Anolis sagrei: one gene and its partner. The protein of the gene in region 2 purifies or fractionates together with the protein of the main gene of each other region. This does not show direct contact. Links are inferred from orthologs where the notes say so. Each region holds a gene or a part of one and is shown on either strand. Other genes may lie near its edges. The genes, in order: ZMYM2 and ARRDC1.

Region 1 (16,279 bases), on a different chromosome or scaffold from region 2:
TAACTTTTCTAAGTTCTCCTATAGGATATTTCTGTAGATGATTTCAGCAGTTTAAATTATATGTTTTCATGCTTTTTCAGTTTTTGCGTTCTGCTTGTGACACATCTCTGGTTTGGAAAGTATTAGATTGATCTGTAGTAGTTTGTTAGGTGTGAATGATATTACCAAGCAGGAGGTGACTAAAATACATGCTATAGCTGTACACCAAACATTTTGTGTAGGCTTTACCCATCCAACCACAATGTTTACCTGAACTACTATTTTGAGCCTGGCTCCAGTTGGTTGACAGTAAAGAAATGAAGTAAAAAATACTTACAGTTAGCTTCATGTTTACTCATCAATCTTAAACAACACATGCTTAAACGTTGCAGTAAATAAGTCATAAAAAGTCTAATGTGAAGTGTTGACATCTAGCACTTGAAATTATTGAGCTTGAAATTAAGCAACAAAACCTTGCTACAACTTTGAAAGGAAGAATAATATAGCTTTCCCTTATATTTTAATTCTGTAGTCAGTAAACCTTTCAAACTCAGTGAGCAATTCACCGATTGAAAAGTAAAATCTAGTTTTTGCTCTCTACATGATAGATCACCTTTAAATTGACACAATGACCAACTGATGACTCTAGAAAGTAGCCAATTTAACAGTTTAAGAAATGGTAGAGTTGTATATATCAAGAGCTTCACAACAGGAACAAGATCCTCCCTGTAACCTGAAGTCTAGATAGTACTTCTGGAAATAATCCAGTCAAAAAAGCAAGCCTTCCAACAGAAACAACAGCTGTTTATAGGACACATATTTTCACAATTTAGCTATTATAACTGATTTCTAGTGATAGCAAGTTTTGGACAGCTAGTGAGTCAAATACCCACTCAGAGGATGACATTGGGCTTTTATTCATCAACAACCATCTATATCTCACAAGTTTGTTCTCAGAATAAAGAGAATACAGAGGTGGGTGCCTCATATCACATCAAACGGCTTCTATCCTCAATATGAAGGTTACTCCAGTATTTTATCTTTTATTGTAACAATGACTATCAAATGGAGAACTGCATAAGCATTTGTAGAGTTTGCTTTGTTTTTTTTTTTCCATGTCAGGAGCAACTTGAGAAACTGCAGAATTTGTAGAGTATATTGTACCTTATGAAAGGAAACAAGTGTTATGTTCACATGGTTACTTCTAGAATCGTATTTTTAAACTCTGAAGCAGAATGATGTAATTGTAAAAGCTAGAAAAGTTCCACAAAGGCCACATAGCCCTCCTGAAAAATACCCATCCAATCTCCAAAGACAGAGTCCACCCCTGTCTGAGGCAATCTATTTCACTGGCAAAGAGCTTACAGTAAAGAAGTTTTACTAATATTTCGGTGGCATCTCTTTTCTTTTAATATGAATTGTGTTCTGCCCTCTGAACAGCAAAAAACAAGTTTGCTCCATTTTTAACTTATAAATCTGGCATTTATAAATCTGATAGACATGTTTTCCATTCCATCATTCAAGTCAATTATAAACATCTCTAAGATTGACTTCTCTCCAGGATGAAGAACCATAGTCGAGCAATCTTGGGGTTTGATTTGTTAACCAATAATAGATCTAGCTAACCGGAACACTGAGTAGCCCATACCTCATGAGCTTGCCTACAAAAATATCATGGGAGACCTTGCCAAAAGCTTCACTGAAATCAAGATCTATCTCCAGATAACTCTTCTGATCTATCAAACATATAACTTGTTTGCCACAAGTTCTTTTTGAGAAACCCATGCTGGCTCTTAATAGCCAGAACATCCCTTTCGCACTGCGTGCAGACTGACTGTTTAATGATCTATCAAGGTTAAACTGATTAGTCAGGAGGTCCCTTATTTGAAGACGGGGACAAATTTTGTTCTCCGTCAATTTCCTAGAACCTCTTTTGTTGTGCAACAATTAAAAAAATTATTTAGACCACACCTCAAGATACTTTAGTACTCGTGGATACAGTTCATATGGACTTAGAAGACTTGAATTTAGAGTAGCTAAGCATTCCTTTACTCTTTACCTATTCCTGGCTCTGGGCCTCTTACTGGAGCATTTATTTATTTTAACTAGTTGTAACACGTTTTCCTTTTGGAAGAAAACTAAAGTAAAGAAGGTATTGAACACTTCACCCTTCTCTGTCCCATTATTTCACTATCATCTCAAACCAATGGCCCTGTCATTTTTTTGTTTTTCCTCCTGCTAAAAAAAGCCAACCCACATCACATCTATTATTATTGTTTTTAACCTCTCTAACTAGCCTAAACTCAGAGGTTTCGCTTTTCTGATTCTTGATGTACATCAGCCAGAGGCTGATGGTTTAACTGATGATTTGGACAGGATTATGGGCTTTCCTGAGGCAAAAGTGATGGGGGCTCAAGTCTGAGAAATTTAGGTCTGGGAAATGATGTTTCTCTGTGAGAAAACAGGCTTGGAAAGTGTAAGGTCTCAAAGCCAGTCCGAGGAGACAGAAGTAGCAATAGCAGATAAGGAAACGAGTGAAGAGCTGAGTGATAAGAAGGGTTCCCAGGAGAAACCACATGTAGCTACAGAGATCAACAAATGTCTTCGTTTACAAATCAGAGCCAAAGAGATACACCAGTCTGAGAGATTATGTAGGAAAGTTGAGGAGGAAATTCACAGGAGACAAGGGCCAAAGTCTCTTAAACTTCAAGTATGAACTGGCCTTATACTAGAAATATCACTGGAATCACAGCTTTCCCTGCTCAAATCATTCTACCTTCTCAAACATATTCTAATGTGGCTTGAACAGTGAGCATATTACAATCCTCCCATCTAGGTGTATTTACTTCAAAATATTATCAAGTGTTTTTGACATAACGCTTTCCTAGGTAATCATAACTATAAGTAAATCTTGTGCAGGCATTTTACCTAGTTATCATGAACTGAGAGTGTGGATAAGGCCCACACAGACATCAAAACCCACCCAGCCCCTATTTTTCTGTTGGGAAAAATGTGTTGCACTCAAGAAGAGTAGAAGCCTCCATATAATTAAGAAGTGGATGCTTATGATGTCTCCTGGACAAACCAAACCAAATCTTTCTTGTTTCAACACAGGACAGTTAAGAATATTGAAGTGATGTGTGCATTTATGTGCCTTTGCTGCCCTGGGTTTCTGTATACCCTGGTTTAAATAAAGTACAGGTCATAGTCTTCAAAGCAGACCAAACCATCTCCTATACTTGTATGAACTTCAAAACACTGTAAACCTTAACTTGAAAGTTCTTAATGTAACATTGAACTATTCAGCAATACTTTCATCAAATCATCCATTTCTATCTATGATACTAGAAACATTACACATAAAGAAAGTGGTCAAATGGTCCCTTAGAGCTATTTTTCATTACTACTGTATTTGCTTAGTTTTGTGACATTCACTTAAAATGATTTAGGGAATGATAATATTGAGCAACAATGAATTAATCAAGGTAAATAACAGCTTTATAAGTGTGGATAATGGAACAGAGGACACGCTTATAAAATCTGCAGGTAAAACCGAATTAGGAGGAGCAGCTAATACTCCAGAATCAAGATTCAGAAAGGGTGTAAGAGATTGGAAAAGTGAGCCTAACTAACAAAATAAATATAATATAAACACGGGTAAACTTAATACATTATATTTAGGTTGGGAAAATAGTTGTCCCTGAGAAACAAAATGTATTATCTATTCTTCCCCAAACCCTTATAAAATACTAATGCCTAATCCATGCTCTTTAAACAATACACCATCTAAAAATGTAAGTTCTCAAGAATAAGACTGACACTGATCTTGAATCATCCAATCATGACTGTCTCCTCCAGGTCAGCTATGGAAACATTACCAGTGGATTCTAAGAGATCCATCCCAAGCAACTATTGATTAATTGCTGTCAGTTTCCAAGTAATAGGCCATGAGCATTGTACACACAGAATTACATGCTACTCACAAACATTTCACCATGATGTTAAAGGAAAACGAGGTAACTGCCATTTTCTCAAAATGATAAAAAATTACATTGAAACAGAAAACAACCACAACACCCTGCAAACTCTTGCTCCCATGACACACAAATAGAACAGTGACAACCAACCTCAGGGATGGAAATAGCGACAAGGCAGATATGCACCAGAGAATGCCTGAAAATGCCAATTGTGTCCAAGAGTAATTTTTCCCCACCACCTCTGCACTCTAGAATTCATGCAGTTTGACACCATTTTAATTTCCATGGCTCAATACTATTGAACTTTTATTCTTTATCTACTGTATTTATATCCCAGCTTTCTCAACCTCGTAGGAGATTCAGGGCGGCTTACACATATAGGCAACAGTTAGATGCCAAAAACACAAATAATAAAAACAAAAGCATTACATAATAATGGACTTGGTAGTTATACAAGGTATTTAGCATTCTCTGCCAAAGAATTCTGGTGTCTCACCAAACCATCACCGCTAAAGCAGGGATCTTTGAGATATGGTTGAACAGAAGCTCTCCAAAGCTTTAGGTACCTATTACAGGGAAAATCAGTTGATTCCTAATCCATCTAAAACACAGACATGTGCTTTTCATCTTAAGAATAGACAAGAATCTTGAGTTCTGAGGACTATCTGGGAAAAAATCCCACTGGAGCACTGCAGCACACCCAAATGCCTGGGAGTGACCCTGGAGCGTTCTCTGACCTACAAGCAGCACTGTTTGAATATCAAGCAAAAAGTGGGTGCTAGAAACAATATGAAAAAAGCTGACTGGCAAAACCTGGGGATCACAACTACATACAGTGAAGACATCTGCCTTTGCGCTACGCTACTCTGCTGCGGAGTATGCATGCCCAGTGTGGAACACCTCACCACGCTAAAACAGTGGATGTGGGTCTTAATGAGACATGCCGCATTATCACGGAGTGTTTGTGCTGTACACCACTGAAGATATTATACTGTTTAGCCGGTAATGCACCATTTGACATCCGCCAGGAAATAGCAACCAATAATGAAAGGACTATGGTAGTCACATCTCTGTCCCACCCCCTGTTCAAATATCAGCCATCATACCAATGCCTTAAATCAAGAAAGAGCTTCCTAAGATTTACAGAGATACTCGCAGGAACACCTCAGCAAGCAAGACTCCAAAAGTGGCAGGCTAAAACTCAAAACCTCCACCCATGGCCGATACCAAATGAGAGACTCTCTCCTGTGCAAAAGAGAAAATGGGCGACCTGGAAGGCACTGAACAGACTGTGCTCTGGCACCACGAGATGCAGAGCCAACCTTAAGAAATGGGGTTATAAAAGCGAGTCCACAACACGCAAGCATGGAAAAGAGCAAACACAGATCTCCTACTAAAATGCAGTCTGAGCCCTGCCACATTGCACAATGGAGGACCTTCTTACAGTGACACCAGAGGCACTCCAAACGGCGAATTACTGGTCAAAGGACAATTAATATAATTATCAAGTTTTTAAACTTTGTATCTTTTTAAAAAATACATTAAAACAGTACCTTTGGTTCACTCCTGATAAGATAAAATACCAAACTACAACTTCAATGATTTCATAGCACTAAGCCATGGCAGTAAAAGTGGTGTCTAATTGTATTAATTCTGTGAAGATGCACCCAAACCCTCAACAAATCCAGTTCCATGAAAGAAAAAGAAGAAGCAACCACACTTTGCCAAAGATTGGATTATTTTAAGTCTCTCCTACCCAGCCACAAAGTCAAGTAAGGTTGCAGGCCATTGGGAGAGTTGTGAGGGAATGAAAATTGGAAACCTGGTTAAACACAGTGGACTATCAGTGTATTTGCACATATGGGGATAGGAAGATGCCAGATATATGTAGTTGCTGGGAACTTGAGAGTTACTCTTCAACAGAGATCAAACACTATATCCCATAACATATCATAAACTCTTTATTGACTTGTTATTAATATTGAAATACTGTAATTAAAAGAAAATACAGACAAACTTAACCTAGGCCCCTTCTACACTAACCATTTAATGCAGTTCAAAGCAAGTTTCAAGCTGCTGCTGCCAGACAACAAACTCCCACAAAAGCAAACCCTTAATGTGTGCATCAGTATCTGTGGTTTGTGTGAACACCACCATTTGGCCCCCAAATCAGTTCCAAGATTTCCTGTGTAATCATCTGAACAGCAAAACCAATTTCTTCAATACTGGTTGCACAGCAAAACCACTTTCTTCAATACTGGTTTCATTAAATGGTTAGGGTAGATAGGGTGGAATATAAATAAATAAGTAAATATTATTATTGATAAGCCTTAATACTATATTATAAAAACTGATTTTACTTTATTATAAACAATTTAATTTTTTTATTATTTCTGTGACCTTTTTGCCGGTTGCCTATAGTATGTCACTTTGGTGTTGGCTCCAAAACTCTAGAGGGCTCTCGAAAGATATCCTTCTCAGAGAAGAGCCTGGTTAAAGCGGGGAGGAGCAGCAGCAGGAGGGTGTTGGTTATGGCAGGAGCGCTGTCTGCAGCAGAGCCCACCCCGAGGGAGAGGAGGAGGAGTCTCCTCACGGCCATTACAGGGCTTTGCTCCAGGGCAGCAAGCAGCTGCTAATGCTCCCCCTGCTGCACCCAATACCCCACCATTGCCCTGGAAGCCCCTCCTCCCAAATGCCAAAAAAGAAAAAAAAAGTCTCCTCCTCCTCCTCCCCCAGGCAAAAAAGCATATATAAATAGCACTCACAATAGAGCTCCTTTCTCCAGGTTGGGCTTTGCCAAGGCTGCGCCAAAGTGGCCTGGGGAAAAGAGAGGAGGAGGAGGAGGTGTTGATAATCCTGAGAAAAAGAGAAAAGGGGGCATTAATAGAGTTGGTGGGCATGCCTCCAGAAGACGCCCTTCCTTCTTTGAGGGAGAGCCCCCAATCCTCTAAGGACGCCCCCCTCCTCTCAAAAGATATGTTGATGTTGGGGTCAAGAAGAGAGAAGGGGTCTGAATAGGGCTGGTGGGCATGCCATATCTGTCCCTCCAGAAGACGCCCTTCCTTCTTTAAGAGAGAGCCCCCAATCCTATAAGGACGCCCCCCTCCTCTCAAAAGATATGTTGATGTTGGAGTCAAGAAGAGAGAAGGGGCCTGAATAGGGCTGGTGGGCATGCCATATCTGTCCCTCCAGAAGACGCCCTTCCTTCTTTGAGGGAGAGCCCCCAATCCTCTAAGGACGCCCCCCTCCTCTCAAAAGATATGTTGATGTTGGGGTCAAGAAGAGAGAAGGGGCCTGAATAGTGCTGGTGGGCATGCCATATCTGTCCCTCCAGAAGACGCCCTTCCTTCTTTGAGGGAGAGCCCCCAATCCTCTCAAAAGATATATTGATGCTGGAGTCAAGAAGAGAAAAGGGGCCAGAATAGGGCTGGTGGGCTCCCTTTATCTTCCCCTTCTCTATTTGTACCCCAAATAAAGAGATGGTGGTGTTGGGGGTAAAAATGCTGGCATTAGTAGGTGGGTGGGCCTTCTCATCTTCCCCTCCAGGAGACGCCCTTCCTTCCTTCCTGCCTCGCTGCGTGGCCCCAGAGAGGTCCCAAATGTCTACCTCCAGTTCCCTTAGGCCTACAGTTTTCCAGTGGAATGGGCGCCTCTTGCCCCAGAGAGAAGGTAGAGGCGAAGGGGATAAAGGGGGGGGGGAGGGGGAATAGAGGTGGAGAAAGAGGGCAAAGGGGAGGAGTTTCTCCTTCACGCACACACACAATACCCCACCAAAGACGGAAAGGGAGGAACTGCCTCCAGGGTTTCCCCCGCCACTGACACACAAAACAGCCCCACCGCATGCAATCCTCCCTCCTCCCCCCCTCTGGGGAAAGTGGGCCGGCCCAACTGTCCCTTCGGCCTCCCTTCCCAATTGCCCCGGGCGGCGCGCTTGGCCCCCTGCTGTCGGCCAGCGGTACTGCAGCCTCGGGTCGGCCGCCATTAATGGGGACCCAACCAAACAATACGGAGGGGGGGGGGGAAGGGAGAGGGCAAAAAGAGGAAAGGGAACGCAAGCGAGTACGGAAACAAAAAAGAGACAAAAAACTGCGAGGAGGGAGGCCGCTGGGCTTCAAAGCCGCGCTTGACAGGAATCGCACCCCCCTCCCGGTGTGCTAAAATGGATCAAGCCAAATACCCCTCAGCAGTCCTCCCTCCCTGCTTTAACCGCCCTCTCTCTCTCTCTCCACTCGAAGGGCTCAACGTGTCTCCTCCTGCCTCTCTCACCGTTTAATGGCTTCCCGCGCCAGTGCCTCAACTCTAACTCGGTCCAGTCCCGGGATAAACGCCGCCGCTGCTGGCGAGGCGAAGGAGGGACAAACCCAACCTTCGGGAGGTGGGGGGAAGGGAGAGGGAAAGAGAGGGGTGGATAGGCAGCCTCGTGCTCGCGCCTATTGGCTCCCTCAGGGGGAGGGCTTTGCCGCCCGGAAAGCTATTGGAGCAACCGCCTGCCTGTCATCATCCCGCGCGGCTGGTTGAGCGCCCCCGCCTGCCAATCACGCGCCTCGTAGCCCCGCCCCTTTCTTTGGTATCCCTCAGGTTAGAGACAACCCGAGTTGCCTCTGCGTCCCTCAAGGGGGCGCTGCTTCCTGAGGGCTTTTGGGGCAGAAGTTGGCGCTCTGTTGGCCCTCCATGAAGCAATAATCACAATAGTAACCAAATAGTAATAAATCACATAATAACCACATTTGCCACAAAAAGAGGTGGCAGTGGTAGTGGTGGTCCATTCCCTGCCCCCCCCCATGGATTTTACCCTCCACAATCTCAGGCAATCATTGAGGAGGCGCCCCCATTTCCATAATGGGGTCGTTTGGTTGGAATTGGTGCCTCAGGACATGGCGCCCTGGGGGAGGGGGAGGGGCAACATGAGGGGCAACAATAGGGACGCCCTCCCAAATGTCCCCAAAATGAACACTAATAAGAGGAGCCCATGCTCTTCAACTTCCAATAATCTCCTCAAAAGGGAGACCAATCCCAGGCAATGAAGCCCAGCACGGCTCCTGGTGGTGGAAGTGGTGGTGGTGGTTGAATGGTGGTGGCGTCCTCCATTTTGTCTGCTGCTGCTGCTGCTGCAATGGGGAGCTTCTCTGGGGGATCCCTTCAGAGCAAGATGGGGCTCTGAAAGGAGAGCCCCTTTTCCCCTCAAGGAGGGAGCCCTGAAGGAGGAGAGGGAACCTCCAAGGAAGCCCCAAGGCGGTGGGAAGGAAACCACCCACAGCCAAAGCTCCCCACTTTCCCCTCAAACCAAAATGGAGGATGCGCGCTTTCTCCTCCTATTGCGCGCTTGGCTTCGCCCCAGTTTTTTTTCCCCCTTCCCTTCCTTTTTTCCCAATCCATGGCTCGTGTTTTGGTTGGAGCCACCCGTTGTGACCCTGCTGTGACAAAAAAAAGGGAACAAAAAAGAGGCAGGAAAGAAAAACAAAACCACACACATATATATATCTCCACACCACCTCGCTTCCCTCACTCCACCTTGCAGCCATTCTCACGCTTGCACACTCCCTAGGGAAAGGCTTTATTTATGTTTTGTGTGTGTGTGTGTGTGTAATTGCGCGGGAGGAGAAGCAAAGGAGTCTTAACAACTTGGCTCTTTGGAGCTCTGGCTAATTCTCATGCGCCACCAAAAAAATAATGATAATAATAATAAAAACGCCAAAGTGACTGGAGCAGCGCCACTTTTTGAAACGGAGGCAGCCAACAGGTTTAAGCCAAAACTATTTAATAGGAGGGCGCTCTCTCTCTGTCTCTCTGTGTTTACGGGGAAAGAGCTAAAAGATTACCCTCCAGGTGGACAAATAAACCCAGGGAGAAGCTAAGGCTGGGTTCTACACCGAGCAGTCTGGACTATATCATGCAGTTCAAACTGCTCTGACCTTAGCATGCAGTTCAAACTGCATTACATGGTTCTACACCTGGCCTGGGCAAACTTTGGCCCTCCAGGTGTTTTGGACTTCAATTGGCACAATTCCTAACAGCCTCTGTCACTTTCCTTTTTGCCCTTCTCTTCTTCGGGCTAAACATGCCCAGCTCCTTAAGCTGCTCCTCATAGGGCTTGTTCTCCTTCACTTTCACTTAGGAGATCCCTCGTTGGACGAGTAAGATGGTCTTCCATTATGGATTTCCTTGTGGGTCCGCATGTGGCTGTGGAGCCCTATTCTTGCTCTGCATCTTCTTCCGCAGTGTGGGCATTGGTTTCCAGGTGGAAGGTGGTCCCGGTTGGGGTTGGCTTGACACGCCTTCCTCCTGGCACGTTTCTCTCTTTCACCCTCCACTCGTGCCTCATCGAATTCTGCAGCACTGCTGGTCACAGCTGACCTCCAGCTGGAACGGTCAAGGGCCAGGGCTTCCCAGTTCTCAGTGTCTATGCCAGAGTTTTTAAGGTTGGCTTTGAGGCCATCTTTAAATCTCTTTTCCTGTCCACCAACATTCCGTTTTCCATTCTTAATTTCAGAGTAGAGCAGCTGCTTTGGGAGACGGTGGTCAGGCATCCGGACAACGTGGCCGGCCCAGCTTGTTCTCCAGACCCTTAATCATTTTAGTTCCAACTGCGTTACATGGTTCTACACCTGGCCTGGGCAAACTTTGGCCCTCCAGATCTTTGGACTTCAATTGGCACAATTCCTAACAGCCTCTGGCACTTTCCTTTTTGCCCTTCTCTTCTTCGGGCTAAACATTCCCAGCTCCTTAAGCTGCTCCTCATAGGGCTTGTTCTCCAGACCCTTAATCATTTTAGTTCCAACAGCATTACATGGTTCTGGCCAGCCACTTTGTCCGGATGCCTGACCACCGTCTCCCAAAGCAGTTGCTTTACTCTGAACTTAAGAACGGAAAACGGAATGTTGGTGGACAGGAAAAGAGATTTAAAGATGGCCTCAAAGCCAACCTTAAAAACTCTGGCATAGACACTGAGAACTGGAAAGCCCTGGCCCTTGACCGCTCCAGCTGGAGGTCAGCTGTGACCAGCAGTGCTGCAGAATTCGAGGAGGCACGAGTGGAGGGTGAAAGAGAGAAACGTGCCAAGAGGAAGGCGCGTCAAGCCAACCCCGACCGAGACCGCCTTCCACCTGGAAACCAATGCCTTCACTGTGGGAGAAGATGCGGGTCAAGAATAGGGCTCCACAGCCACCTACAAACCCACAAAAATAGTCATCAAGGAAGACCATCTTACTCGTCCAACGAGGGATCACCTAAGTAAGTAAAACACGGTTCTACACCTGGCCTGGGCAAACTTTGGCCCTCCAGGTCTTTGGACTTCAATTGGCACAATTCCTAACAGCCTCTGGCACTTTCCTTTTTGCACCTTCGTTGCTTAAGGAATTGTACCAGTTGAAGTCCAAAACACCTGGAGGGCCAAAGTTTGCCCAGGCCTGTTCTACAAAACAACAGAGAGTAAACAATCAGGCACATCAAATCACCTCTCAAAGAAAGATTCCCCCAGGCACTTCCAAGCCATTAAATGCTAATCATAGAATCATAGAATCAAAGAGTTGGAAGAGACCTCATGGGCCATCCAGTCCAACCCCCTGCCAAGAAGCAGGAATATTGCATTCAAATCACCCCTGACAAATGGCCATCCAGCCTCTGCTTAAAAGCTTCCAAAGAAGGAGCCTCCACCACACTCCGGGGCAGAGAGTTCCACTGCTGAACGGCTCTCACGGTCAGGAAGTTCTTCCTAATGTTCAGATGGAATCTCCTCTCTTGTAGTTTGAAGCCATTGTTCCGCGTCCTAGTCTCCAAGGAAGCAGAGAACAAGCTTGCTCCCTCCTCCCTGTGGCTTCCTCTCACATATTTATACATGGCTATCATATCTCCTCTCAGCCTTCTCTTCTTCAGGCTAAACATGCCCAGTTCCCTAATCCGCTCCTCATAGGGCTTGTTCTCCAGACCCTTTATCATTTTAGTCGCCCTCCTCTGGACACATTCCAGCTTGTCAATATCTCTCTTCAATTGTGGTACCCAGAATTGGACACAATATTCCAGGTATGGTCTAACCAAGGCGGAATAGAGGGGTAGCATTACTTTCCTTGATCTAGACACTATGCTCCTATTGATGCAGGCCAAAATCCCATTGGCTTTTTTTGCCGCCACATCACATTGTTGGCTCATGTTTAACTTGTTGTCCACGAGGACTCCAAGATCTTTTTCACACATTTTTATTTATTATTTCTTTATTCACAGTAGAGTCTCGCTTATAATAAGTAATAATAATAAAAACTTTATTTGTATTCCGCTCTATCTTTATTTATATTCTGCTGGGAGAGGTTATCTGGAGTTTTGGAGTACAGTGCCATCTCTACGCAGATGACACCCAATTCCACTACTCTTTTTCATCAGAATCCAAGAAAGCCCCTCGGATACGATGATCTGGATGAGGGCGAACAAGCTGAAGATTAATTCCGACAAGACAGAGGTACTCCAGGTCAGTCGTATGTCTGATGAGGGTAATGGGTGGCAACCTGTGCTTGACGAGGTTGCACTACCCATGTCACAGATCCCCAGCTTGGGGGTCCTCCTGGATTGTGCTGATACTTGATGCGCAGGTGTCGGTTATGGCTGGGAGGGCCTTCACACCATTAAAACTTGCGCACCAGCTGCAACCATACCTCATGAGGTCTGACTTTACCATGGTGGTCCACGCCTTAGTTACCTCTAGACTGGACTACTGCAATGCACTCTACTTGGGGTTTCCCTTGAAGACGGCCCGGAAACTTCAATTGGTTCAACGTTCGGCAGCCAGACTACTAACTGGGGTGAATTATAGGGAGCAGTCAACCCCCCTGTTTAAGAAGCTCCATTGGCTGCCGTTCATTTCCTTGTCCCAATTCAAGGTGCAGGTTATCACTTATAAAGCCCTAAATGGTTTGGGTCCCGCCTACCTTCGTGACCACATCTTCCTCCACAAACCTGCACGTTCCCTCCAATCCTCAGGGGAGGCCCTCCTTTTGCCTCTTCCTCTATCACAGGCACGACTTGTGGGAACAAGGAAGAGATCCTTCTCCATTGTGGCCCCCCAGCTATGGAACTCGCTACCTGGTGAGATTAGGCAAACCCCCACCCTAGCAGCCTTTAAGAAACATCTAAATACTTGGCTTTTCAGATGTGCCTTTGGAGAGTGACCATATATTCCAGTCATGTTGTTTCACCTACACTGCTTCCCTCACATTACACTTTCCCCCACCTCATTGAAAGTCTAATTCCACTGTCCAATCCCCCATGAGCTCCTCCCTCACAAATATACCTTTTCATTGCTATCTCATCCAGTGTTTTATAATTTTATGTCGTGTATTTGGCCAGCCCACTGTGTTTTATTTTCCATTATGTTATTTTGTACTGTTTATTTTACTTGATTGGTTTATTTATTTTATTGTGATGTTATTTTGTTGTTTGTATTTTATGTTGCTGTAATGTATCGCTAGGCTTGGCCTCATGTAAGCCACTCTTGAGTCCCCTTGGGGAGATGGTGGCGGGGTATAAATAAAGTTTATTATTATTATTATTATTATTATTATTTCCTCAAAGGGACTCAGGGCGGATTCCAAACATAAAAGGCAAATATTCAATGCCCGAATACATCAACAATACATCCATACTAACATCCTTTATACAACTCATCATAGAAATACGAATTATAACTTAACAAACTAAAATTAAATAAAAAAGCACAGCCTGTTATAGTAGTAGTAGTAATGTTATTGATTATCCCTTAGGCCATATCACAATAAGAAACAGAACAACAAGGCCTGACAGGACCTGATCACACTCCACGTAGTAAGTTAAAATAAGACACTTATAATAATACAGTAAATACATATGATAAGACATGACATCTTGACATGATAAGACTCAAAAGTATGACAAATACCTGGCATACAGATTAAACATTTTTAAACAAGACGGTTGGGAGCAAAAGTTTTTACCAATACAAACCTATGCATAGATTTGATTCATATCCATTTACAGCTGAAATTGATTGCTATAATCTGCAGGAAACTAAGCATATTAACCTTAAAATGTCAAATTATTCAGAGCACATTGCTATTATTCTGGCCTTCATCCTGATCTTTTAGATTAATTAATGGTAACTGGGTAGGAACCCATTGATGTGCAAAACAGGCAGAGATTATTGTTAAAATATTATTTACATTAATTAAATTATAGTCTTGATTTAATAATTTTTAATCAACAAAGAACAACAGTAGGACATTTTGTTGAAAGCCCTATCTTTATAAGCAGCCAGTCTTTACTTGCTGACAGAAGAACGGGGAATGCATCTACACTGTAGACTTTAACTGCCATGGCTCAACACTATGGAATAAAGGAAGTTGTAGTTTTGCAAGGTCTTTAACCTTCTCTGCCAAAGAGTGCTGGAGCTCTGGGAGCTGATGTTTCTTATCCTATATCATGATTCAGGATTACATTGGTTGATCTGAAATCTTACAGGTTATTGTGTCTCCAGTAATTGATGCATTGTTACACTTGTGAATAGGAAGAATATTTTAATGTGTTGCAAAGGAAGGAGTGATGTTGACAAGTGGTAGCTCATCAACATTTGTGTTTCATTGTAACAGTATTTAGACATAGCTACAGAGTGAAAAAATGTCATTACATTTTGCATTCTTTTAAAATAATTTTATACTGTTTGAATTGTTTTGTAAAGTTATATAGTAAAATTTTAACTCATTTAATCTGTGAGCCACCTTGGTTTTTAATCTGGGATAAATCAAAATGTAAATAAAATATATTATAATAAAATAAATTAAATGTGCACTGTTACATAAAAAAAACTAGTTGGATTTAGACCAAATTATCTAGCACATCCCACCATGCATAATCTCATGATTTGCACAGCTCAGATCTGGAATGTTGAGAAAGAATGTCAAATTAACAATTTTCCCAAAGGGATCACCATTTTACAGTTCAACAATGTTATGCAAGATCTTATTATCTTCCTCTTCATCATCTCCTTTTTAAAATTAATCCTGTTTATGCTATGTTGCTACGTATGGTGTTTGAGAGTGGGGGTGTATATGTTTTATGTGCAACAGTGTAAGAGTGAAATAAATATATTAATGGTTCAAAACAGAGAGATCCTTATTTTAACACAGTATTTTGGTCAAGAGGTAAGAAATTAATTATTAGAAAGTGACAAAAGATAGGAAGACTGTGGTCCTTATTACATGATGTCATTATACTGTCATAACTGTGGTTCAGTTCTGCTTTATTTGTGCCTTATCACATATTATTATATTGGTATTTAGTTCTGCTGTACAGCTATTGTGCTGCACAATCCTTGGGGATAAAAATGGGACATCCCCCTAAAGGCACCAGATCCTGTCTGATTAGCTAAGTAGGGTCAGCTTTGTTTAGTATTTGGATGCGAGATGGCAAATTACTATAAAATACTGAAAGCTGTATTTCAGAGGAAGGAATTGGCAAAGCCACCTCTCAATAATCCTTGCCTAAGAAAGTTGTATGAAATTTATGGATAAATCCACAGGTGACTTGGAAGCATACACACACTAGTGGGATTTTGGTGTTTGACGTGCCTTTTAGTATTTTAATACTATACTGCTTCAGAACATTTTAATGGCTTAATTGATTGAGTCTATCCAACAGTGAACTTTCTATTTTCTTACTGTCTTCTATCTTACCAAGCATTTTCTAGTGAATCATGGCCAAAATGTGAGTCTCAGCTTTCTCATCCTGGCTTCTAGAGTTTAGGTTTGATTTCCTCTAGAACCCATGTCATTTTCTTTTTGGCAGTGCATAGTGTTGTCGAATGTCGCATCCACCACCCCGGAGATTTATAGTTCTCCAAGTGCACCAGAATAAAAGTAAATTATTTTCTTTTTTCTCCTCCACTGAACACCTGCAATTTTGACCAAGCACAAAACGGACTGGCAGATCAGCAGCCACAACTCTGCTCCAAAATTAATTTTAATTTATGTATTATTTTATTAAAACCCCACAGATATGTGCTAATACATATCAGTGCACATGCAGACCTCAGCTGCAGCAGTGGATCTAATACAGGAACTCTATTGTTTCCCAACCCTTTAATAAGAATACATATTTTCTTACAACTTTTCAACTAACTTATATCCTTTGCTCTCTGACTCATTCTTCTATGTATCTAATTTATGTATCAAATACATAATTTCTGCCCAACAAATCACAGGGACTGTCACCTCCTTGCTTACCCCACTGAGGAATTTCCTGGATATTTGGGCTGGGCAGATTCTTGGCCTGCCCTAGAAAAAATGACAATTTATATTCCTTATGTG
Region 2 (15,997 bases):
GCAGGTGAACTATAAATCCCAGCAACTACATCTCGCAAATGTCAATGTCTATTTTCCCCAAGCTCCACCACTGTTTACATTTGGGCATATTTAGTATTCATGCCAAGTTTGGTCCAGATCCATCATTGTTTGAGTCTACAGTCCTCTCTGGATGTAGGTGAACTACTAGGTTTTCAAACTGCTAGGTTGGCAGAAGCTGGGGCTGACAGCGGAAGCTCACGCCGCTCCCCAGATTCGAACCTGCAACCTTTTGGTCAACAAGCTCAGCACTTTAACCCACTGCACCACTGGGGGCTCCTAATAGCCATGTATAAATACATGAGAGGAAGTCAAGCTTGTTTTCTGCTCCCCTGGAGACTAGGACGTAAAACAATGGCTTCAAACTACAAGAAAGGAGATTCCACCTGAACATTAGGAAGAACTTCCTGCCTGTGAGAGCCGTTCAGTAGTGGAACTCTCTGCCCCGGAGTGTGGTAGAGACTCCTTCTTTGGAAGCTTTTAAACAGAGGCTGGATGTCCATCTGTCGGGAATGCTTTGAATGCAATTTTCCTGCTTCTTGGCAGAATGGGGTTGGACTGGATGGCCCACGAGGTCTCTTCCAACTCCATGATTCTAATGTTTTTGACTACAACTCCCACCATCCCTGGTGACAGAACCAGACAACCAGGGCTAGTAGGATTTGTAGTCCAGGTTAAGGAAGGTCCTGAAAGATTATCTCAAAGAGAAAAATGTGCTGACAACCAGAACGCCCACACAAGGATGTCTCTGAAACCTTTCCCGACTCTTAGTTTGAAGGACAAAAGGGAAAGGATGCACCAAGATCCCGGCAACCAGAACAATATTCCATGCAATATTCCCCAAGAGATGGCTCTGTTTCGTTGCAAGGAGACCTTGAATCCCTGCCAGAGGAGAGGCTTTGAGCAGAGTTCATTTTACACCTGGATGAAGGTGCTTGCTTGTTCCCACTTCCTTGTTGACATACAGATTCAAAACATTGCTGAGCCACCCTTCAGTTCAGCAATACGAATTTTAGAAACAAGGGGTTGCCTGCTTTCCAGTAGTTCTCAAGTGAAAAGCAAAACACTAAAGCATGGTCAAAGTGGCAAAATATTATAAATATTTATAATATTATATATATTATATTCTGAAATATTATAAACATAAGTTGGGGGTGGCGCAGTGGGCTAAAGCGCTGAGCTGCTGAACTTGCTGATCAAAAGGTCGCAGGTTTGAATCTAGGGAGCAGAGTGAGCTCCCGCTATTAGCCCCAGCTTCTGCCAACCTAGCAGTTCGAAAACATGCAAATGTGACTAGATCAATAGGTACCACTCTGGTGAGAAGGTAACGCCACTCCATGCAGTCATGCTGGCCAAATGACATTGGAGGTGTCTATGGACAATGCCGGCTCTTCGGCTTAGAAATTGAGATGAGCATCAACACTCAGAGTCGGACACGACTGGACTTAATGTCAGGGGAAAATCTTTACCTTTACTTTACACCGAACTATCCCTAAAAGCACAATTCCCTTCTGATCTTGAACATTATGTAGTGTCAGCCCTGGTTAGAACTTTGATGGAAGAAACTGGCATTCTAGAGACTTGGCTGGTGGGAGCCCCAGCACTAATTAATTATGCGATTTCAGCACATTTTATTTGTGTTGTTTTGTTATTATTTATTGGTGTTGCCTTGTTATTGTGTGTATTTTGTTATTATGTACTTTTGTAGTGTTGCTTTTATTGCTCAGTATTAGTTCTGTTGCACTCTGCTTCGAGATGCAAGAAAAAGTGGATTATTATTATTATTATTATTATTATTATTATTATTTTATACATAACAAGATTAGTACACACCATGCTGGCTTTTGTATTTGATCACATGTCAGTCACTTCCCAAGTGTCTAGGACTGGGTGATATATTGGCATATCTGAGTAGGGTGGACTTTTGCAGCTAATAGATGCAATGCTGATTGTTTTTAAGTGCAGGCCAAGGTCTTTAGGTACTGCACCCAGTGTGCCGATCGCCATTATTATTATTATTATTATTATTATTATTATTATTATTATTAGGTTGCTGTGAGTATTCTGATCTGTATGGCCATGTTGCAGAAGCATTCTCTCCTGATGTTTCACCCACATCTATGGTAGGCATCCTCACAGCTTGTGAGGTCTGTTGGAAACTAGGCAAGTGGGGTTTATATATCTGTGGAATAATGTCCAGGGTGGGAGAAAGAACTCTTCTCTGCTTAAGGCAAGTGTGAATGTTGCAATCAGCCACCTTGATTAGCACTGAATGGCCTTGCAGCTTCAAAGCTTGGCTGCTTCCTGCCTGGGGGAATCTTTTGTTGAGAGGGGTTACCTGGCCTTGGTTGTTTCCTGTCTGGAATTTCCCTGTTTTCTGAGTGTTGCTCTTTATTTACCCTCCTGATTTTAGATTTTTTTAATGCTGGGAGGCCGATGTCATTTATTTTTATGGTTCCTAACAAAGGATTCCCCCATGCAGGAAGCAACCAAGCTTTGAAGCTGCAAGACCATTCACTGCTAATCAAGCTGGCCAATGGCAACATTCACACTTGCCTCCAACAGACAAGAGTTCTTTCTCCTACCCTGGACATTATTCTGCAGGGATATAAACCCCACTTGCTTAGTTTCCTCAACCTCTGAGGATGACTGTTCTGGATTTGGGTGAAACGTCAGAAGAGAATGCTTCTGGAACATGGCCAAACAGCCTGGAAAATTCCAGCCATGAAAACCTTCATTAACATATTGCTGTTGTTGTTGTTACTCTATGTAACACCATTTTTGTTGCTGGTTCTATCATAAAAACATGAAAACAAAATAATTAAACTGGTTACTAGTAACTCCAGTTACGAGTCCAGAAGGGGAAGAAGAAAAGCATCTCCTCAGGCACCAGGTTCTCTTTGCCAAAAGGGAGGGAAATATAAATATTGCACCACTGGTCCCAACATTTCCTGGCCAGGAAGGAAAGAAGAAACACAGTCCCCAAGGTGTTTGGAAAATGTGAATACCTCTTTGCCAAGCAAGGAGGGAAAGAAGAATCCATCAAGGCACCTCTTTGCCAAGATGGAAGGAAACCTCTTCTTGCTAACTGGCACCTTTCCCCCAAAATGAAGACAGATGAGCATCTTTGAAATTACATGAAAGGAGATTCCACCTGAACATGAGGAAGAAGTTCCTAACTGTGAGAGTTGTTTAGCAGTGGAACTCTCTGCCTCAGAGAGTGCTGGAGGATCCTCCTTTGGAGGCTTTGAAACAGAGGTTATTATTATTATTATTACCTCCCAACAAAGGATCCCCCCGGGCACGAAGAAGCCAGGGTTTGAAGCTGCAAGGCCATTCAATGCTAATCAAGCTGGCCAATGGCAACATTCACACTTGCCTCCAACAGACAAGAGTTATTACTTTATCCCACCTCAGACATCATTCCATATATATATATACAAGCCCTATGAGGAGCGGCTTAAGGAGTTGGCCATGTTTAGCCTGAAGAAGAGAAGGCTGAGAGGAGATATGATAGCCATGTATAAATATGTGAGAGGAAGCCACAGGGAGGAGGGAGCAAGCTTGTTTTCTGCTTCCTTGGGGACTAGGACGCGGAACAATGGCTTCAAACTACAAGAGAGGAGATTCCATCTGAACATGAGGAAGAACTTCCTGACTGTGAGAGCAGTTCAGCAGTGGAACTCTCTGCCCCGGAGTGTGGTGGAGGCTCCTTCTTTGGAAGCTTTTAAGCAGAGGCTGGATGGCCATCTGTCAGGGGTGATTTGAATGCAATATTCCTGCTTCTTGGCAGGGGGTTGGACTGGATGGCCCATGAGGTCTCTTCCAACTCTTTGATTCTATGATTATATATATATACATATACATATTTATACAGTCCACTTGCCTTGTTTCCAACAGACCTCTACGCAGATCCCCTCACTGATTGACTTTGCATTTGCAAGGCCATTTGATGCTAATCAAGGTGGCTAGTGGCAACATTCACACTTGCCCCCAACGCACAAGAGTTATTTCTTTATCCCACTTTGGACATCATTCCATATATATAAACAGTCCACTTGCCTTGTTTCCAACAGACTCTATGCAGATACCTTCACTGATTGAGTTTGCAGTTGCCAGCAATGGCAACATTCACACTTTCCTCCAACAGACAAGAGTTCCTTCTCCAACCCGGGACATCCTTCCAGAGATACATATATACAGTCCACGTGCCTCGTTTCCAACAGACCTCTATGCAGATCCCCTCACTGATTGACTTTATTTATTTATTTATTTATTTGCAGTATTGGTATACCACTTTTCTCACAATTATACACTACAATTAGACATAAATTAAATTTTAAAAATACAAAAAAAAATACTTTGCATCTGTAAGGCCATTCGATGCTAATCAAGGTGGCCAATGGCAACATTCACGCCTGCCTCCAACAGACTAGAGTTATCGTCGAAGGCTTTCATGGCCGGAATCACTCAGTTCTTGTGGGTTTTTTCGGGCTATATGGCCATGTTCTAGAGGCATTTCTGCCTCTAGAACATGGCCATATAGCCCGAAAAAACCCACAAGAACTGAGACTAGAGTTATTTCTTTATCCCACCTTGGACGTCATTCCATATATATAAACAGTCCACTTACCTTATTTCCAGATTCCCTCACTGGAAATGACTACGCAGATACCCTCACTGATTGACTTTGCTACTGCAAAGCTGTTCAATGCTAATCGAGGTGGCCAATGGCAACATTCACACTTGCCTCCAACCCACAAGAGTTCCTTCTCCCACCCCGGACATAATTCCAGATATACACAGTACACTTGTCTAGTTTCCAACAGAGCTCTATGCAGATACCCTCACTGATTAACTTTTCCACTTCAAGGCTCCTCAATGCTAATCAAGATGCTCAATGGCAACATTCACACTTGCCTCCAACAGACAAGAGTTCCTCCTCCAAACTGGGACATCCTTCCAGATATATACACACACAGTCCATTTGCAACCGACCTCTATGCAGATCCCCTCACTGATTGACTTTATTTACATATTTATAGTATTTGTATACCGCTTTTCTCACAATTATACACTACAATTAGACATAAATTAAAATTTAAAAATACTTTGCATCTGCAAGGCCATTTGATGCTAATCAAGCTGGCCAATGGCAACATTCACACCTGCCACCAACAGACAAGAGTTCCTTCTCCAACCTGGGACATTCTTTCAGAAATACATATATACAGACCACTTGCCTAGTTTCCAACAGACCTCTATGCAAATACCTTCACTGATTGACTTTCCCACTGCAAGGCTACTCAATGCTAATCAAGGTGGCCAATGACATCATTCACACTTGCAGACAAGAGTTCCATCTCCAACCTGGGACATCCTTCCATACAGTCCACTTGCCTTGTTTCCATCAGACTCTAGGCAGATACCTTCACTGATTGACTTTGCAGTTGCCAGACCTTTCAATACTAATCAAGCTGGCCAATAGCAACATTCACATATGCCTCCAACAGACAAGAGTTCCTTCTCCAACCTGGGACATCATTCCAGAGATAGCTATACACCCCACTTGCCTTATTTCCAACCGACCTCTATCCAGATCCCCTCACTGATTGACTTTGCATCTGCAAGGCCATTTGATGCCAATCAAGCTGGCCAATGGCAACATTCACACCTGCTTCCAACACACAAGAGTTCCATCTCCCACCTCGGACATAATTCCAGATATATACAGTACACTTGCCTAGTTTCCAACAGACTTCTATGCAGATACCCTCACTGACTGACTTTACAGCTGCCAGGCCATTCAGTGCTTATCAAGGTGGCCAATGGCAACATTCACACCTGACTCCAACAGACAAGAGTTCCTTCTCCCTTCCCGGACATAATTCCAGATATACACAGTACACTTGCCTCGTTTCCAACAGACCTCTCTGCAGTTACCCTCACCGATTGACTTTGCAGCTGCAAGACTACTGAATGCCAATCAAGGTGGCCGCTGACCACACAGAGAAGCCTCCTCTCAGTGCCATCCTGCCAGAAGAAGGGTCTCTGGGCAGTTCAGGGACAAGCAAAGGAGCATCACACACAGAGAGAGAGAGAGAGCTTCCCTTCGCTCTTTCCCAACCCAGGTTCCTCTTTCTCACCTCGGTACTGGAGGCTGGCTGCCAGGCGGAGGGTGACGGTGCCCACCAGGGGCTCTCCGGGGCTGTAGACCACGCGGCTCTCGCCCAGGCGGATCTCGAAGAGCTGCACCTTCCCCATGGTGGGCTTGGCGAGGGAAAGGGGGGAGCAGGGGGCCGCAGAAGGCCAGGCCTGGCCCTCTCTCTCCTCCTCTTCTCCTGCTGCGCTTTTACGCACCGAGCTTCCCTGCGCTTTTACGCACGGGAGAGGTCTTTCCTTCCTTCCTTCCTGCCCTTTTCCGCACCGCGGGAGGAAGGGGGAAGCTGGGATCCGCGGAAGGCGAGATCTGGCCCCTCAATGTCCTCCTTCCCTGCCTGCCTTTCCCTCTCTTCTCGTCCCAGGAGCAGAGGCTTCCCAGCTCTTCTTGGGGGTCTTCTTCTCTTCCCCTTTTTACGCACCGAGCTGTGTTGCGCTTTTACGCACGGAGGTGTCTTTCCTGCCCTTTTACGCACAGCCTTTCCGGGCCCTTCTACCTGGAAGGAACCTCGCTCAGGCCACGCCCCCTCTCCTCCAAGCCCCGCCCCCTTCGCCCCGCCCCTCAGATTGGTGGCAGCTGAGCTGAGGGAGGGGCCAAGGAGAGCTGGCCAAGTGACGTCAAGACCAATCCAGAGGGATTGTTAGGACTTCGAATCCCATCATCTCCCTCCCTTCTTCAGGGGACAGCAATCATCATTGGGTTGTTGTGACTTTTCCGGGATGTCCGGCCATGTTCCAGAAGCATTCTCTCCTGACATTTCGCCCACATCTACGGCAAAGATACTAAGAAGTTGTGAGGTCTGTTGGAAATTAGGCAAGTGATGTCTAGGGTGGGAGAAAGATTTTTTGTCTGTTGAAGACAAGTTGGGAATGTTGTAGTTGGCCACCTTGATTAGCATTGAATGGCCTTGCAGCTTCAAAGCCTGGCTGCTTCCTGATTGGGGGCCAGCTAACACCTCCCAACCAAGGATTCCCCCAAGCAGAAAGCAGCCAGGCATTGAAGCTGCAAAGCTATTCAATACTAACCAAGGTGGCCCAGTGCAACATTCACACTTGCCTCCAACGACCAAGAGCTCTTTCTCTGTATACACTCTGGGGGACAGATAACACCTCCCAACCAAGGATTCTCCCAGGCAGAAAGCAGCAAGGCTTTGGAGCTGCAAGGCTATTCAATGCTAACCAAGGTGGCCCATGGCAACATCCACTTTTGCCTCCAACAGACAAGAGCTCTTTCTCTTGAATCCCATCATTGCAATGTTGTGAGTTTTCCAGACTGTCTGGCCATGTTCCAGAAGCATTCTCTCCTGACCTTTCACCCACATCTACGGCAGGCATCCTCACAGGTTGTGAGGTCTGTTGGAAACTAGGCAAGTGATGTCCAGTTTGAGAGAAAGAACTCTTATCCATTGGAGACAAGTTGGGAATGTTGTAGTTGGCCGCCTTGATTAGCATCGAATGGCCTTGCAGTTTCAAAGCCTGGCTGCTTCCTGCTTGGGGGCCAGCTAACACCTCCCAACCAAAGATTCCGCCAGGCGGAAAGCAGCCAAGCAGGCATCCTCAGAGGCTGTGAGGCCTGTTGGAAACTAGGCAAGTGATGCCCACAGTGGGAAAAACAACTCCTGTCTGTTGGAGACAAGTTGGGAATATTGCAGTTGGCCACCTTGATTGGCATTAAATGGCCTTGCAGCTTCAAAGCCTGGCTGCTTCCTGCTTGGGGCCCAGCTAACACCTTCCTACAATTGATTCCCCCAGGCAGAAAGCAGCCAGGCTTTGAAGCTGCAAAGCTATTCAATGCTAATCAAGGTGTCCAACTGCAACATTCCCACTTGCCTCCAACAGACAAGAGCTCTTTCTCTCAGATCCCATCATTGCATTGTTGTGAGTTTTCCAGACTGGCCAAGTTCCAGAAGCATTCTCTCCTGACCTTTCACCCGCATCTTTAGCAGGCATTTTAAGCAGAAGCTGGATGGCCATTTGTCAGGGGTGATTTGAATGCAATATTCCTGCTTCTTGGCAGGGGGTTGGACTGGATGGCCCATGAGGTCTCTTCCAACTCTTTGATTCTATGATTCTATCCTCAGAGGTTGTGAGATCTGTTGGAAACTAGGCAAGTGATGCCCAGGTTGAGAGAAAGAACTCTTATCCACTGGAGACAAGTTGGGAATGTTGTAGTTGGCCACCCTGGTTAGCATTGAATGGCCTTGCAACTTCAAAGTCCGTCTGCTTCTTGCTTGGGGGGCAGCTAACACCTCCCAACCAAGGATTCCCCCAAGCAGAAAGTAGCCAGGCTTTGAAGCTGCAAGGCCATTCAATGCTAATCAAGGCGGCCAACTGCAACATTTACACTTGCCTCCAAAAGACTGTGAAGCAAGTGGACTGTATCTCTGGAATGTATCATTCCAGAGATACAGTCCACTTGTCTCACAGTAAACTTGCCTCATTTCCAACAGACCTCTATGCCCTCACAGATTGACTTTGCAGTGTGAATGTTGCAATGGGCCACCTTGGTTAGCATTGAATAGCTTTGCAGTTTCAAAGCCTGGCTGCTTTCTGCCTGGGGGAATCCTTGGTTGGGAGGTGTTAGCTGCCCCCCCAAGCAGGAAGCAGCCAGACTTTGAAGCTGTAAGGCCATTCAATGCCAATCAAGGTGGCCAACTGCAACATTCCCAACTGGTCTCCAACAGACAGGAGTTCTTGCTCCTACCCTGCTTTTTGGCTGGGGGAATCCTTTGTTGGGAGGATTCTCTAACAACTCTGACAACCATCATGTCAGACTACACAGAGAAACCATTGAAACCCACAAGCATGTGGACAATTTCAACAGAATCTGGCTACCAGTATTTTAAAGAAACCCTCCAAAATCAGGACAGTAAATAAAGAACAACTCTAAAAAAAAAACCCAGAGGAATTCCAGACAGGAAACGATTAGGGCCGTCTAACCTCCCAACCAATGATTTCCCCAAGGTAGGAAGCAGCCAGGCTTTGTAGCTGCAAGGCCATTCAGTGCTAATCAAGCTGGTCCATTGTACTATTTACTTTTGACTCAAACATACAAGAGTTCTTTCTCCCACCCTGAACATTATTCCACAGGTACATAAACCTCACTTGCCTAGTTTCCAACAGACCTCACAACCTCTGAGGGTGCCTGCCATAGATGCAGGTGAAACACCAGGAGATAATGCTTCTGGAACATGGCCATAAGCCCGGAAAACAGCAACCCAGTGATTCCGGCCAATTTTTTTTGGTCGTGTCAGGAACGACTTGAGAAACTGCAAGTCGCTTCTGGTGTGAGAGAATTGACCGTCGGCAAGGACATTGCCCAGGGATGCCCAGATGAATTGATGTTTTTATCATCCTTGTGGGAGGCTTCTCTCATGTCCCCGCATGAGGAGCTGGAGCTGATAGAGGGAGCTCATCCGCCTCTCCCCGGATTCGAACCTGCGACCTGTCGGTCTTCAGTCCTGCCGGCACAGGGGTTTAACCCACTGTGCCACCGGGGGCTCCTGATTCCGGCGATTCCGGCCATGAAAGTCTTTGACAACACAAATCATCATCATCAATATTTATTTATTTATCATGTCAGGAGCAAACCAAACAGTTGTATTGCATTTTTTAACAAACAAACAAACAAACAAACAAAACAAAACACAAAGTTTGCAAGCTTGGTAGTTGATTAGATGTCCTTTGACCAGTATCTGGCCACTTGGAGTGCCTCTGGTGTTACTATAAGAAGGTCCTCCATTGTGCATGTAGCAAGGCTCAGGTTGCATTGCATCATCATCATCATCATCATCATCATCATCATCATCAGTGAGATGAGTATAGTAAACCAAGTCTGTGGTGGGTATGATTAGCACCTCTAGAGTATCGGAGGACAACTCCCTACATCTAAAGCTGGGGATGATGGGTATAGTAGGTCAAGGTCTGTAGTGGGCATGATCCGCACCTTCAGAGTGTTGACAACAACTCCCAGCATCCACAGACAGCGATGTATACCAGTTAGGGTGTGGGAGTATGACACTGAAGACCAGGGTTCAAATCCCAGGTTGGCTATGGAGAACTTAGCAAACCACATTCTCTCAGCCTCAGAGGAAGGCAAGTGCAAGTCCCATCGAATCCCTTTGTTTTAGGGTTCAATGACTTGAAGGCACACAACAACAATGTAGCCACTAAACAAGGCACCATGAATACTTAGTAGTTAATAATGCGTAACGGTACATTACATATTCATAATTGTTATGAATGCCTAACTGTTATGAATATATAACTGTCAATAAGTGTAAAATAGGTTAACATATTCCTAACTGCCCAACAGGTTACTGTTTTATTGTTTTAATGCTTGTTGACAGTTCAACAGTGACAAAAGCAAGATACTCCACTTAGGCAGAAGAAACGAAATGCAAAGATACAGAATGGGGGACAATGCCTGGCTCGAGAGCAGTACGTGTGAAAAAGATCTTGGAGTCCTCGTGGACAACAAGTTAAACATGAGCCAACAATGTGATGTGGCGGCAAAAAAAGCCAATGGGATTTTGGCCTGCATCAATAGGAGCCTAGTGTCTAGAACTAGGGAAGTAATGCTACCCATGCTCTATTCTGCTTTGGTTAGACCACACCTGGAATATTGTGTCCAATTCTGGGCACCACAATTCAAGAGAGATATTGACAAGCTGGAATGTGTCCAGAGGAGGGCGACTCAAATGATCAAGGGTGTGGAGAACAAGCCCTATGAGGAGCGGCTTAAGGAGCTGGGCATGTTTAGCCTGAAGAAGAGAAGACTGAGAGGAGATATAATAGCCATGTATAAATATGTGAGAGGAAGCCACAGGGAGGAGGGAACAAGCTTGTGTTCTGCTTCCTTGGAGACTAGGACACGAAACAATGGCTTCAAACTACAAGAGAGGAGATTCCATCTGAACATGAGGAAGAACTTCCTGACTGTGAGAGCCGTTCAGCAGTGGAACTCTCTGCCCCGGAGTGTGGTGGAGGCTCCTTCTTTGGAAGCTTTTAAACAGAGGCTGGATGGCCATCTGTCAGGGGTGATTTGAATGCAATATTCCTGCTTCTTGGCAGAATGGGGTTGGACTGGATGGCCCATGAGGTCTCTTTGATTCGATGATTCTATGATATATTGCTTTAATTATGATTTATGTTTAATTGTGGTTTTACTATTGTAATTGTTTGTATTGGCATCGTATTGGTGCCAAATGTAAGGCATTGAATTTTGCCATTATTTATGTGTAAACCACTTTGAGTCTCCCCAGGGGTGAGAAAGGCGGTATATAAATACTGTAAATAAATAAAAATATAATATAATATAATATAATATAATATAATATAATATAATAATATCTACACAAGGGTTCCCTAAGACCTGAAAAAATATTATTTCTAGGGTTCCTCCAGGTCATAAATTAATAATAATAATAATATAATGTCTACACAAGGGTTCCCTAAGACCTGAAAAAATATTGTTTCTAGGGTTCCTCCATTTCATAAATTAATAATAATAATAATAATAATAATAATGTCTACACAAGGGTTCCCTAAGACCTGAAAAATAATTGCTTCTAGGGTTCCTCCCGGTCATAAATTAATAATAATAATAATAATAATAATAATAATAATAATATAATGTCTACACAAGGGTTCCCTAAGACCTGAAAAAATATTGTTTCTAGGGTTCCTCCAGGTCATAAAATAATAATAATAATAATAATAATAATAATAATAATAATAATAATAATATAATGTCTACACAAGGGTTCCCTAAGACCTGAAAAAATATTATTTCTAGGGTTCCTCCAGGTAATAAATTAATAATAATAATAATAATAATAATAATAATAATAATATCTACACAAGGGTTCCCTAAGACCTGAAAAATTATTATTTCTAGGGTTCCTCCAGGTCATAATGGTTGAGAGAGGTTGGTTTAGCACCTTGGAAGGTCTTTATGTAGCCTTGCATCCAGGGCATAATGGTCCCACAAAAGAGTAGCAACGTAGCTTGATCCACTTGGCACAAATTGGTTTTACAAATTACATAATGGCATAAGGGTAAATCAAGGCAGCCGCTTCAAGGCTCATGGGTTCAGCTGTGGTCATCTGAAAGCTAGAGTAACTTGTTCTGTAGTGACAGAAGAGAGAGGAACTATGGTAAAAATGCTCTCCTGGCATGCCAGTATCCACAAGACCGTGAGCTGGGACTCTAGAATTGGTGACAGATCATGTCAGCACTAAACCTGAGTCAATCACAGAGCCTGTTGGATAAGTTTTCTCTTGTAAATAGAAGAATGCCTCTTCCAAGATGTCTACTGTTGCACTCCAGGCCTGGAAACACCTATGACCACCACACCACAAAAGAGTCCAGAAATACAACCAATCAACTGTATTACATTTCTAATAGAACAAAACAAAACAAACAAACAGACAGACAGACAGGCAAAATACAAAATTTGCAAGCTTGGTAGTTGATTAAATGTCCTTTGACCAGTATCTGGCCACTTGGAGTGCCTCTGGTGTTGCCGCAAGAAGGTCCTCCATTGTGCATGTAGCAAGGCTCAGGGTGCATTGCAGCAAGTGGTCAGTGGTTTGCTCTTCTCCGCACTCGCATGTTGTAGATTCCACTTTGCAGCCCCATTTCTTGAGGTTGGCTCTGCATCTCGTGGTGCCAGAGCGCAGTCTGTTCAGTGCCTTGCAAGTTGCCCACTCTTCTGTGTGCCCAGGGGGAAGTCTCTCATTTGGTATCAGCCATTGGTTGAGGTTCTGTTTGAGCCTGCCACTTTTGGACTCTTACTTGGTGAGGTGTTCCAGCGAGTGTCTCTGTAGATCTTAGAAAACTATGTCTAGATTTAAGTCATTGACATGCTGGCTGATACCCAAACAGGGGATGAGCTGAGATGTCTCTGCCTTGGTCCTTTCACTATTGGCTGCTACTTCCCGGCGGATGTCAGGTGGTGCAATACCGGCTAAGCAGTGTAATTTCTCCAGTGGTGTAGGGCGCAGACACCCCGTGATAATGCAGCATGTCTCATTAAGCGCCACATCTACTGTTTTAGTGTGGTGAGATGTGTTCCACACTGGGCATGCGTACTCAGCAGCAGAGTAGCATAGCGCAAGGGCAGATGTCTTCACTGTGTCTGGTTGTGATCCCCAGGTTGTGCCAGTCAGCTTTCATCAGATATTATTTCTAGCACCCACTTGTATTTATGATACAACCATATGAAAAAACAGGAATAAGAAAAAAAAAGATATATACTGTAATTCAAAAAAAGTTCACCAACAAGTGATAACCAAACAATAATCCAATTCTCTCATAAAGTTCCAGAGGTGACAAAATCCAGGAACAGCCAGAAATCACAGTTACAGCATAAGCCCCCAAGCAAGAAGGTACAACTAGTAAAAACTTGAACAGGAGTACGTGGACAGGAACATGGAAAACTTCCAGGATATTAAAATCCAAAACCAAGGCTTGACTTCAACCAAGAACAAGATAACTCAGGCTTAGCTTCTCACTCTAACGCAGCGTTGCCTGAACTGCCTTTAAGACAAACAACTTGTTATTTAATAGACACTCATGAAAGCATTACGTCTCCCGTGAATTTTCTCTCCAACTTTCCCACATAATCTTTCAGCCTGGTGTAATCTATTTTGGGCTCTAATTTGTAAACAAAGACTTACTTTGATCTCTGTAGCTACAGGTAGTTTCCCCTGGGAACCCTCCTTATAGCTCAGCTCTTCACTCAATTCCTTATTGACTGTTACTACTTCTGTGTTGCAATCCAGAGCAGGGAAAGAGGCCCTAAGATAACTATCCACCACACTTGGCTGTGAAAAACAATCCTTTTTTATTGAAGAAAAATGGTTACAAAATAAAGGAAAAATGCAAGTCAAAAGCCACAGCAAAATCAGCAAACATGAATTTAAATGGACAAAGCAAAACCAAAAGCCTCACTGTGAAATACTGGAACCTGTTAGCAATCCACTAACCGTACTTGATATCCTAGAAATCTTCCCAAACTATGGCCAGGGAACCGGGAGAACTGCCAAGGTCTTCATCAATTCTGAAACGATGCCTGAACTGAGACGGTCAGCCCGGCGTAAGGCAATTAAAATTCAAGAATTGGTTCCGTGAACCGGCCTTCTTTTTTGAAGCCAATGTTTTTAATTCTTGAATTCGGGAGGATCGACGCAAACTGAGTGATTTACTTCTGTCTTCCCAAATTTGGCCCCTTCTGTCGTCATTACAGTTAACAGGTGCAGAAGGGAGGGAAAGTTCAAGGTCTCCCTCTGAAACATTCTCATGAACACTGGTACTTTCATTTTCCAAATCTACAGAAGTTCCTTCCTCACTAATTTCAGGAACATTGGCGTTTTCCAAACCTACAGCAGTTTCTTCCTCACTAATTTCAGGAGCATTGGCATCAAAAGGTACATTTCCATTAGCATCAGTAAATATACTTTCATTAGCATCAGGAGGAACAAACAGAGAATCAGGTTCAAGTTCAAACTCAGGCTGAATCCCAACATTCTGGCTCCTTGGACTGACCTGGTGGCCCTGCACTTTGCAAGCCAGTTTTCTCACAGAGAGAACCATCATTTCCCAACCATGAATTTCCCAGACTTGAGGGAGCCATCACTTTGTGCCACAGGAAAGCCCACAATCCTTTCTAAATCATCACTTAAACCATCAGTCTCCGGCTGATCTACAACATCTGCTGTGACACATGGATGTAATGTACATCCATGTGTCACCTGAGAAGAAGCATTCCCCTTTCCACCACATACAGAAGGAGACTTCTATCTTATGCATAGAAAGGGAATAGCTCTTCCAGAATGATACCCAGTTTGGCACCTAACTTGGAAGGGGTCTTCCAAGATTACCATCAAATCGTCTGCGAATGCCTTTGTCTTATAACTTTGATCTCATATGTGTAGTCCTTTAATGTCTTCATTTTTAAAAAATTGAGAGGATAAACAGTGGTGGGGAATGTGGGCAGCTTTATTTATTTATTTATTTACTGTATTTATATACCTCCTTTCTCAGCTCGTAGGTGACTCAAGGTGGTTAACAGGGTAAAATTCAATGCTTACAATATCATAAATACAATTAAAAACATAATCTATAATAAAAAACTAAATAAAATATAAATTCATTCTATCTCCTTGTTAAAAACGTTGTCCAGTCTCATTGTCATCTTTCCATTTTCCTATGTCAGTTACTCTGCATTTGCAAACGCATGTTCAAAAAGCCATGTCTTGACTTTTTTTCCACAATGTTAAAAGGGAGGTGGCCGATCTAATATCTATCGGAAGACCATTCCATAGCCTAGGAGCCACCGCCAAGAAGGCTCTGTCTCTCGTCTCTGCCAAATGTACTTGTGACGAGGGCAGTAACGAGAGCAGGGCCTCCCCAGTTGATCTTAAGATTCTAGATGGCTCAAAGGGGGAGATGCGTTTGGACATGTAAGTTGGGTCAGAACCGTTTAGGGCTTTATTGTTGTGACTCAGCTTGACTCTGAGTCTGAATCTGAGCTGTTTGGGCCTTCTGAGTCTGACTTTGGGCCTTCTGAGCCTGATTTCCTGCAGGATGACGAGGAGGCTGATGGGTTACAGATTCCTGTACATGTTTCAGATGGGGCTGATAGTGTGGCTGCTGAAGGAGAAACAATAAGTCAGTTCCCCGGGGAAAAGAATGTTCCTGCATTTAGAGAGACTGATAGCGAGAGTGAAATCCCACACAGCCAGGTGGAGGATCCGTCCCAGCTGGACCCAGATAAGGGATTGCATAGCCTTGCAGTTAATTAATTAATGAGCAG

The links.
Region 1: the proteins of ARRDC1 (region 2) and ZMYM2 purify together in Homo sapiens (affinity purification with mass spectrometry; 3 studies listed by BioGRID and IntAct, counting the BioPlex papers as one, with this or other methods). This does not show direct contact. The link is inferred for Anolis sagrei from reciprocal best matches to the Homo sapiens genes ARRDC1 and ZMYM2.

What each region holds. Positions count from the first base shown.
Region 1 is NC_090023.1:27,916,780-27,933,058, reverse strand, and holds the start of ZMYM2 (zinc finger MYM-type protein 2), read right to left. Parts: upstream 8,373-16,279; 5' UTR 8,223-8,372; intron 6,813-8,222; 5' UTR 6,722-6,812; intron 1-6,721. UniProt on the Homo sapiens protein: Involved in the negative regulation of transcription.
Region 2 is NC_090031.1:9,260,695-9,276,691, reverse strand, and holds the start of ARRDC1 (arrestin domain-containing protein 1), read right to left. Parts: upstream 6,707-15,997; 5' UTR 6,283-6,706; coding exon 6,165-6,282; intron 1-6,164. UniProt on the Homo sapiens protein: Functions as an adapter recruiting ubiquitin-protein ligases to their specific substrates. Through an ubiquitination-dependent mechanism plays for instance a role in the incorporation of SLC11A2 into extracellular vesicles.